Arabidopsis thaliana: one gene and its partner. The protein of the gene in region 1 interacts with the protein of each later gene in a pairwise test. Each region holds a gene or a part of one and is shown on either strand. Other genes may lie near its edges.

The links. Proteins that work in one complex are often made in the same cells at the same time.
Region 2: the proteins of ATRZ-1A (region 1) and NAPRT2 interact in a two-hybrid assay, tested with the Arabidopsis thaliana proteins (one large-scale study listed by BioGRID).

The regions. Positions count from the first base shown.
Region 1 is NC_003074.8:9,668,784-9,673,815, reverse strand, and holds the start of ATRZ-1A (RNA-binding (RRM/RBD/RNP motifs) family protein with retrovirus zinc finger-like domain-containing protein), read right to left. Parts: upstream 2,300-5,032; 5' UTR 2,211-2,299; intron 1,867-2,210; 5' UTR 1,864-1,866; coding exon 1,753-1,863; intron 1,388-1,752; coding exon 761-1,387; 3' UTR 745-760; intron 644-744; 3' UTR 353-643; intron 245-352; 3' UTR 1-244. Other genes in the region: TRM11 (tRNA modification 11 protein), read left to right, coding at 2,543-2,956, 3,038-3,355, 3,436-3,510, 3,589-3,663, 3,757-4,308; EIF4B1 (eukaryotic translation initiation factor 4B1), read right to left, coding at 4,735-4,759, 4,922-5,032.
Region 2 is NC_003071.7:9,968,634-9,973,665, forward strand, and holds the start of NAPRT2 (nicotinate phosphoribosyltransferase 2), read left to right. Parts: upstream 1-2,969; 5' UTR 2,970-3,185; coding exon 3,186-3,334; intron 3,335-3,425; coding exon 3,426-3,570; intron 3,571-3,658; coding exon 3,659-3,778; intron 3,779-3,870; coding exon 3,871-4,005; intron 4,006-4,098; coding exon 4,099-4,160; intron 4,161-4,256; coding exon 4,257-4,332; intron 4,333-4,555; coding exon 4,556-4,657; intron 4,658-4,791; coding exon 4,792-4,908; intron 4,909-4,998; coding exon 4,999-5,032. UniProt on the Arabidopsis thaliana protein: Catalyzes the first step in the biosynthesis of NAD from nicotinic acid, the ATP-dependent synthesis of beta-nicotinate D-ribonucleotide from nicotinate and 5-phospho-D-ribose 1-phosphate.

The DNA.
Region 1 (5,032 bases):
CCAACCAGAGACCATTTGGCTGTAGAAATTTCCCTAGTTGAAGAAAACTATTGGATTTGACTTGCCAAGATCTAAAATTGCACAAAGTCAATCTTTTTCCTGAAAATGACAATTTGTTGCTCATGAAGGGATGTTTGAGTTCCAGTAGCCAAGTATCAATCAGCAATGTATATTTCCCAATCCCATCACAAGTTTTATAGATCAGTCTTTAATTTTCACGGCTAAACCCGAGTATCAGACCATCCTGCATCATTGTTTACCAGAATCAATAAACGGCATATCCCCATATATAACAACATTTGAATTTTACCAAATGTCGACCTCGGATATTCCGTGGAGATCAATCACGTACCTGAGGCTTTTGCATATTTGGTGTTGGGGGATAACCCACGCATTCATTACGATAAGCATAAAGTAGCACATCTCAAATTGTCTCAAACCAACCAAGCACAAGGTTTCCATAGGGATCAACATATCAAAAGGAGAGAGAGCACTTTAGGAACATAGTCGACTCTTGAGTTTAGGGCCAAAATAGAGAACACATCTTCTTTCTCGAGCTATCCAAATACATTGAAGAAAATAGACCATCAAGCGTAACTTTGACTTGACACGAGCTGAAAGCAGAAACCTTCAACTTCTTTAACTGCAAAAGAAGATATAAAGCGACTTCAACAAAAGTCTTACCAGAACTTAACTTTGAAGGGATACAATAGAAAAAGTTAAAATAACAGAATGCATACATACCCTTTGGAGTAGAATTCTAGTGGAAACCACCAGCTCTGGGGCGGTCATATGGAGCACGACTGTGCCTCTCACCTCCTGGAGCTCCACGGCTGCCACCATCCCGGCTGCGTCCTCCAGCGCGTTCACCACTGCGATCAGGTCCATAGCGACTACCTCCACCATCCCTACTACCATACCTATCATCCTTGGAGCTGTACCTATCATCCTTGGAGCTGTACCTATCATCCTTTGCACCATACCTATCCTCCTTTGCACCATACCTATCATCTTTTGCACCATACCTATCGTCCTTCGAACTGTACCTATCATCCTTTGAGCTGAACCTTCCACCACCATCTCTACTACTTTCAGAAGGACACTCTCTTGCAAAATGTCCAGGCTTGCCACATTTAAAGCAATCTCCACCACCTCGCCCACCAGAGGGACGACTGCGATCACGATCATATCCACGGTCTCGACCACGGTCACCATCATTATCTCTGCCTGCACCACCCTGATGAGGCTGAGCTTTATCAACAGTGATAGTTCGCCCATCCAAATCCATTCCATTCATTGCTGCAATAGCTTCATCCATAGCTTTTTTCTCATCGAAAGTGATGAATCCAAAACCACGGGAGCGACCAGAAAACTTGTCAAGAACCACCTGTGTATCAATAGATAAGGTTTATCTCTCATAATAGTTATGGCAATAAAAATAAGGTAGTAAGATAAATTTCAAATAAAATTATCAAACAGACAACACTACAAACAGATTTGCAAAGAGCAAGAAAATGAACAAATCACTCAAAGCTTCAATGTCTCAGCAATCAGAAGAGCTGATAGCCACTAAAAGAAGTCAGTTACTAAACAGACACGCCTCACCATAAACAGAGTTGCAGAAAGCAAACAAATTACAAAACATATCAAAGCTTCAGTGTTTGAATCTGAAGGCGAAACAGAACAAAGCTTCTAAGTTTCAGTAACCAGAAGAACAGAGAGCCACTGAGGAAAGAGAGATAAAAAATTTACCTTGGCCTCAACGAGGTGACCATACTTCTCAAAGGCATCTCTGAGACCACGATCAGACGTTGTCCAAGCAAGCCCACCAATGAAGCAACGGTACTCCGGATCTTCAGACATCTTCTAAAACAAACAGCCAAAAGTGTTTTTGAACAACGTTAATATGACTTGACTCCCAGAAAAACCAAACACACGCAGCAGATCCAGAAGATATACACAGCTACAACACAATAATTAAGCGTGAAGCAAATCTGAACTCGTTTCTCTAAACATGGTTCGCGCTTACGAGACAAATCCACGAAGGTAATTTCAATTGATCTCTACTCGCAAACAACATATCTACAAATCGTAATTGCGCGATGGTAAACCCTAGAAACTTCAAATCAGAATCGGTACAAAGATGACGAGACATGCAAGCGAATCGATACTTCGGTATAAACAAAGTATAAGAAACGAGAAATCATTACCAGAGAGTACGAGATCTGCTCGTAATTTGAGACGGAACCCTAATTTCTGAGAAGAGGAGAAGCTGCAGAGAAACTTTGGCAGAACACACAAGACACAAGTGAAAGCAAACGACGCGATATATCTCGTATTCGACAGCTAACGGGGTAATTTCGTCATTTAAGTACAAGTGGGCCTGAATAAATGGGCTTTATTGGGCCCATGTATAAGGGTTTTGAAGAAAAGGTTTTAGTCGCCGTCGTTCTTCGTTTCTTCCTTCTCCGTCTTCGTCTTCTTTCTCAGTTCTGTTGTCAAATTAGGGTTTTCGTTTCAGGGGAAAGAGAGAGAGAGAGAGATGTGGTTTCTGTGTGTCTTCTATCACAGGCTATTAGACTTCAGAAAGCCAGAAGTGGAAGCTTTAGCTGAACTCTTCGGAGAAGAGATTGCAGAGAATGAGTCTCTCCAATGGCGTCTACCTGAAAATCACCATAACGATACTCCATTCCATTTCGTTCAACTTTCATCTGAAGAAATCGCTCGTAACATTGCTAAACGAAGCATATTGGTGAAAGGAATGTATGAGCTTTGGGGTGAAGGAACTTGTTATGAAGAGCTTAAAGACTCGATTCAAAGCTACCCTGATTCTCGAAAGCTTCCATTTCTCACTTCTGATTCAACTTTTAGAATCTCTGTTGAAACTTTTGGAAAGGCTTTAACTTTTGACGAGCAGAAAGATCGAATCCAGTCGTTTACTTATATACCATTTGAGGTCTGATTCCACTTTCTTGTTTCAATCTCTTTTGGTGTTTATCTTCATTGTTTTGATTCTTTGGTGATTTGGTTGTTGCAGGGTCGTGTTAACTTGAAGAACCCAGATCATAACTTTTTTCTAATGGAAATGATTGAATCTGAAGAGAACAATGGACTTCAACCTATTCTACAGAGAAGGATATTTTTTGGGAGGGAGGTTGGTTTTGCTGATAGGAAGCTTTTACCTACATTTCAGTTGAAATCTCGTACTTACCTTGGTCCAACTGCTATGGATGCTGAAATGGCTTTCTTAATGGCTAATCAAGCGAAAGCTACTTCGGGAAAACTTGTGTATGATCCTTTTGTTGGTACTGGGAGCATTCTTGTTTCTGCTGCACGCTTTGGCGCAATGACAATGGTTTGCAACCTTTCCCTTAGTTTATTGATTTCCTTTTGTGGTTTCTGAATCTCGAACTGATAAAAGAGTTGTTGTATTAGGGTGCAGATATCGATATCAGAGTAGTGCGTGATGGACGTGGTCCAGATTGTAATGTTTGGAGCAATTTCAAACAGGTTAGTATGAGTGTGTGACTTCTATTGTTATGTTTCTTTCGATATCACTGGTTCTTACATCTGTTAATACTTATGCAGTATGGATTACCAATGCCGGTAGCTTTACTTAGAATGGATAATAACGTTCCTCCTTGGCGATCGGGGCTAAAGGAGGTAATGCTCTATATCTCAGTTCTTTCATTATTATCTTTGGTATATTGAGTAGAGAGATCACTGAGTTTATGTCTTATGTATCTATTGGTCCAGATCTTTGATGCAATTATCTGCGATCCACCTTACGGGGTTCGTGCTGGTGGACGTAAATCCGGTGGTAGGAAAATCCTTAGAGGAACAGTGGATCCTTACACTGTCCCTGATGACAAAAGAACAGATCACATTCCATCCACTGGTGCATATAGTCTAGTGGAGTGTGTTCATGATCTACTTCATCTTGCTGCAAGAATGTTGGTGATGAAAGGCAGGCTCGTCTTTTTCTTCCCGGTTTTGAGAGATGAGACTGGCAGCGAGGTTAAGTTCCCGGAGCACCCGTGTTTCAAGTTAGTAGCTGTATCTGAACAGATCCTGAGCTCGCGGTACAGTCGGGTTCTGCTAACGATGGTGAAAGTAGAGCCTTATAGTGAAGAGGTTGAAGAAGCTGCTCGTTTAATGCATTTAGAGTTTAGAGAGAATCATCTTAAGTGGTTAGAGGATGGTAATATTCACTCCTCTATATTCAAACCCATTGATTCTTCTCAGATTGACACTGATTCCAAAGCCTTCAAAGATCCAAAACCTAAGTATAGAGGGAAGTATGTGTAAGCAATTAGTTTTGTGTTTTTTTCTTCTTGTTGTATGCTAAACAATTTCGTTTTTGTCTTTCTTGTTGTTCCAATACAAATAGGGTTACTGGCAAATAATTGTGTTAACAAAATACATCAAAAGGAGATGAGAGACTCCAGGAATAGCTACAAAAAATATAACAATCAACATTCGAAAATGTCTAACAATATAATAACAAGAAGAGACACATTCTCTTGAGACACGCCTTCGCTGAGTAGAGAAGACCAAAACGAAACAACAAAGCTCCGATTCCGAAGATGGACCAACAAAAAAAGAACAAAGATTAGGGTTTTTTATGAATATTTTATTAATGAAATTAACGCTGCTCTAAGTCTTCTTCAAAATCTGGGAACTGTGTAGTAGTAGTTAAAGATATCCCACATTTGGTTGTTCTTCGTTTTCTTCTTACCATCCTTCCCTAGAGGAAGACCTGTCGAAAACCCGAGATTTAGAAATTAGTATAACATCGATTCACCAAATTTGGTTAAACTTAAAGATATGATGAGCCTAAATGCATCTATTGTACCAACTGCATAAATCTCTAGACTTCTAAAGAGATTTAGTCATTTAGATACTAATCCCCGGGACTAACCTGTTGCTGAAGAATCCGCGCTCTTTGGTTCCTTGAAAGTTTCTTCGCTGCTCATTGGCTGGTCTAACCCAGGCATCGACGGCACCACGTGATCTGGGTCTCTCTGTAGAT
Region 2 (5,032 bases), on another chromosome or scaffold:
AATCATATGCTAGCTTTGTCAAATAAAAGAATATATAAAAGACATCTCGTACACAATATTATATTTTAGATTGAATAAATAAGAGTTCAGAATATTAATATACTTCGCTGCTCTTTTGCTACACCATAATACTGTGTTGAAACGTACATAACTACATATATGTGCAAGAAGATGTTATTATAGCCATTAAACTTGATCCTAAAAAAAAATCTTAATTATTTTTCTTTTCATCTTAAATACTAATTTTGTAACTCAATCTTAAATGTGCATATGCTTTTATCAAGTGTTTTTGATAGCTATATTATTTTAATTCTATTTATATGAAAAAAACATATACAGGTGGAAGATTTCTTTGTTGAAATGCAAGAAAAAATAATTTCTATTTGTTGAATAAATGTCTTAAATGGAGAAAGCTCCTTGGATATCATTGCATATGTTAAAATTTTCTACATTTCAACAAAGAATATAGAAAATTTCTATGTTTTTCTTTGTTAGTGTGACAGAATCTACTAAAAAATACATATTTTTATGCCAATGGTTAATATGTTTAACGTTTTGTGTTTTAGTGATATCATACAAAAGTTTCTAGCTAGCTAGATTTTTATGCCAATGGCTCTCTCCATTTTTTTATGATTAAATTTTCAAAAAACTAACAAGAGAACTTTGTGTATTATTTCTTGGTTTTTTATACTCCAATGGTAGGTTCTCTTAAAGGAGGTCTCTTAAAAAAAAAATATTCATATAAATTATTTTATTTCATACAACTTAATATTACAAAGCATAAAATATTAAAATACATTTTTTGGAAATATTATAAAATAGATGTGAAATAAATATTATAATGTTTAGTTAAATATATAATTTTGTCATAAATTATGAGCTAATTAAAACAAAATTAGTAAACCAAAACATTTAGGGGGATGTATTGGATTAGGGATTTTAGAAGATTTTTGTTTTTCTTAAAAACCATATCAAATCTAGTGTTATTCAAAAATTAAAAGGTTTTTGTTCCTCTACTCATCAACAAATTAAAATTCTTATAATTTTTTTTTTTTTGTTTGGCTTGAATCTGCATGACTCACTCAAATTAGAAGCCAATTACTATCATCAAATTAGAGATACATTTAACTATGAAGCGAATTACTATCACCAAATCATGAGCTATATGTGTTCCATAGTTACAGAGTCTATCACCAAAATACATAACGCCAACAAAACAAACTCCTAGTCTTGTACATCTATGAAGCCAATGACTCAAAACATACAACATAACCATCATGAAGCCAATTACTAAGAAAAAGCAACAAAAGAAAGAGATAGATACAGAGAAAAGAGAAAATACTTGAGCAAGTTGGGACTGAGTCAGCTTCTTGTCTTCTCGGGCTTGCATGATGGCTTTCTTCAACTTAGTGGGCACACGATCACCTGATTTTAAAACCATATAAAGGTGTTAACGATAACCAGCATTACGAATCAATCAAACACATATGTAGACTTCCTCTCGCTAATAATGCAAACTGAAGAAAATATTAATAACCCAAGAGAACAGACTAGATTACTAGAATGACTGTACCCAAGCAAAAGCTGGTTCTTATGGGATCCAAATCAACAACACTGATCCCCATGCAACAAACAATAAAACGAAACAGATCAATCAGATAACTTCTTCGTTTTCTAAAGAACCAAATCATCTACACAACTAAATCAATCAAAGCTTAGTCATCTTCCTATCTGACAATGCTCTGATTCGAGGGAACGAAGCAAGGGTTTGGTGGGAGATTGGATTTGGGACAAACACATATAGAATTGGGTCATCGATTTGGTGAAACGAACTCGGAATGGTGAGCAGCGTCGAGAGAGACGACCAATAGAGAGAGTGAGAAAATTTCCCGACGGAATGAAAAATAAAGACACAAGGATTTTTTGTTGGTTAAATATATCAACCAACCACTGACTGCCACGTAGGAGGCTCTCTCCAGAATTATTTGTTTTGATTATTTTTAATCAACAACTTCAAGAGAACCCTATCAAATTGTGATACTCATATCATGACACTGACAAATAAAAGAGACCATGAATATGGTTAGGCCATATGCGATATGGCTTCAAAAACCAAGTTGGGACAATCTTATGTTTAGTCTTAAGTTTGAGTTCATTTTAATTCATTTTAGATACTATTGTTTGATGTAAAATTAAACTTTGATAAATAAATGTACCTAAATTTGGATTGATTTTTTCATAATCATGTTTAAAATTTTTGGTGTTATGCAATTCTGTTTTGTTTTGTTTTTCCATAATAAGCATCTGAACATTTTTACAATATTTATATATTTTAAGAAACTGAAGTTTTAAGATGTATTAATCTACATTAACCTTTTCTATTTTAATGTTAACAAATATTATATATTATAAGTACAATATTCATCAAATACTATAACATATATGTGAAATGTAAATATTTACTACTAATCAAATATCATACTGCATATTTGATTGCAAAAGAGCTAAAAATCATTAATATTGCACATTAAAAATAGTCAATAAACTAAAATCATTAAATACACAAATATATCATAACACAGCAAGTGTGTACCATTATTAATCAATAGATTTACGCTATACAAGTTTTCCGAATTATGTATGTGAAATAAATCACACCAAAAAAATGTATTTGAAATGAAAAAATTCCCCGCCTCTGTAATTTAAGTTTTTTAGATTAAAACAGCTAAACTCTTTTCATTAATTTATTAGAGATACAAGATATTGTTATTTGTTACCAATACCAATATGTAAATTTTTCTGAGTAATTATTATAATTAGTTGAATTTGGCTACCATATGCCAATTTTCAACACATAAAATTCTTTTAAACGTGAAAATTCCAATAATCTAAGAGCCAACAACCACGAAAATTAAACCTCGTTTTAGTCTAAACTCTAAAATGAGAAATAATTAGAAACCAATAAAGGCTCTTAAAGAAAGACTAGGTCAAGTTCAAAGCAAGTTTTGCTTTGTGTGGTGGTCGTCGTCTCTTTCTTTAAACACACTTGTTTTTTTCTTTTTCCTTTGACCACTCCAATATAAACAACCAAGAACCAGTGTTCCTCGTCCATTCACTCTCTCGTAATCACACACACACTCACTCATACGAAGCCAATTGTTCCACACAAATTGGAAGCGACGACAATGGAGCCGAAAGAGAACGGCTCAGAATTGGGTCAGAAGATCATTGACGGACCAACGAATCCAATGGTCACACCTTTACTCAATGATCTTTATCAATTCACCATGGCTTATGCTTATTGGAAAGCTGGCAAACACAACGAACGATCCGTGTACAACACACAATCTCTTCTCATGCTCTGCTTTTGATGTTGAATTCTGAATGGTTTTGTATATTTGAAATTGTTTTTGTTTCCTTTTCAGTTTCGATCTGTATTTTCGTAAGAACCCATTTGGTGGTGAGTACACTGTGTTTGCTGGATTAGAAGAGTGTGTTAAGTTCTTAGCCAATTTCAAATTGACTGATGAAGAAATCGATTTCGTTCAAGAGTGTTTGCCTGGATCTGAGGTATATCAAAAATCTGTTTGTTTTTAGATTGTTATTGATTAAAGTTTGGATTTTTAAATCAGGGTTTTATGTTTGTGATTCAAATTAGGAAGCTTTTTGTGATTATCTTAGAGGGCTTGATTGTTCTGATGTTGAAGTTTATGCAATTCCGGAAGGATCAGTTGTTTTTCCTAAAGTACCTCTCATGAGAGTTGAAGGACCTGTTGGTGTGAGTCTCTTTGTCTCTTTCATTTGTGAAGATTGTTTAAGGAATAGTTTTCTTGAATGAATGATTCATCAGTTGTTGTAAAATCTCCATAGGTTGTTCAATTGTTGGAAACTCCATTCCTCAATCTTGTCAATTTTGCATCTTTGGTAGCTACTAACGCAGCTAGGCATCGCTTTGTTGCCGGAAAATCTAAGAGTCTACTCGAGTTTGGTGCTCGAAGGGCTCAGGTTTCCTATAAATCTCTCTCTTGTTTTTTGATATATTGCCTTTTGTGTTGTTCTTTCCATCTCTGTCTGATGTTATTAGTGTTGGAATCTTAGGGTCCGGATGGTGCAATAAGCGCATCAAAATATTGCTACCTTGGAGGTTTTGATGCAACAAGGCAAGTCTTGCTTTTTGTTTTTGTTGATCTGGAAGTAGGTGAAAGGGAATGTGGAAATGATGTGTTTTGTGTTGTTGGGTATTTTGCCAATGACAGTAATGTAGCAGCTGGAAAACTTTTTGGGATTCCTCTTCGTGGAACACACTCTCATGCTTATGTTAGCTCATTCATGGTCAGTTCACTTCAGCCAAAAGTTTCAATTTTTATGTGGAGGTTACATACTTGAGTTAGCTAGTAGAGACGATAACACAAAGTTTCGTGAAAATAAGATATTCTTGTCAATGCCTTTGTTGCTATAACTTTATTAGCCATGGTTCTGATGCACACTTAATATCCTCGCTCATAACAATATCACAAAAGCATTTTCGATATAATTAGTTAACTTTGGATTGCAGAGTACTGATGAGATTGTTGACAAAGTACTTCGTAGTGCTGATGGGAAAACCACGTGCGAGGATTTTGTTAGTCATGTTCAGACATGGTTAAAAAAGATTCAGGTTTGTTTATTGCACATTTTGCTCTTCCTCTTCCTGTTTTCTAGTCTCAGGACCATTGTTCTATTTCTGCTTCAACCCTTTGCTTGAATCTTTGTCACAGTTTTTCTTATGTTTTGTTTCTTTGTGGATGACAGTATTCACCATCTCTAAGTGGCATTTTCTCTGAGACAAATCAAAGCGAGCTAGCAGCTTTCACCTCATATGCACTGGCATTCCCCAAAACTTTTCTTGCCCTCGTAGATACATACGATGTGAGCATTAAACACCATAGTAGATAGCTCATTTGAGCCTTAGGATTTCTAATAAACTCTTATATTAGTGTTTTGCTGACTGTTTTACAGGTGATGAAGAGTGGAATCCCTAACTTCTGTGCAG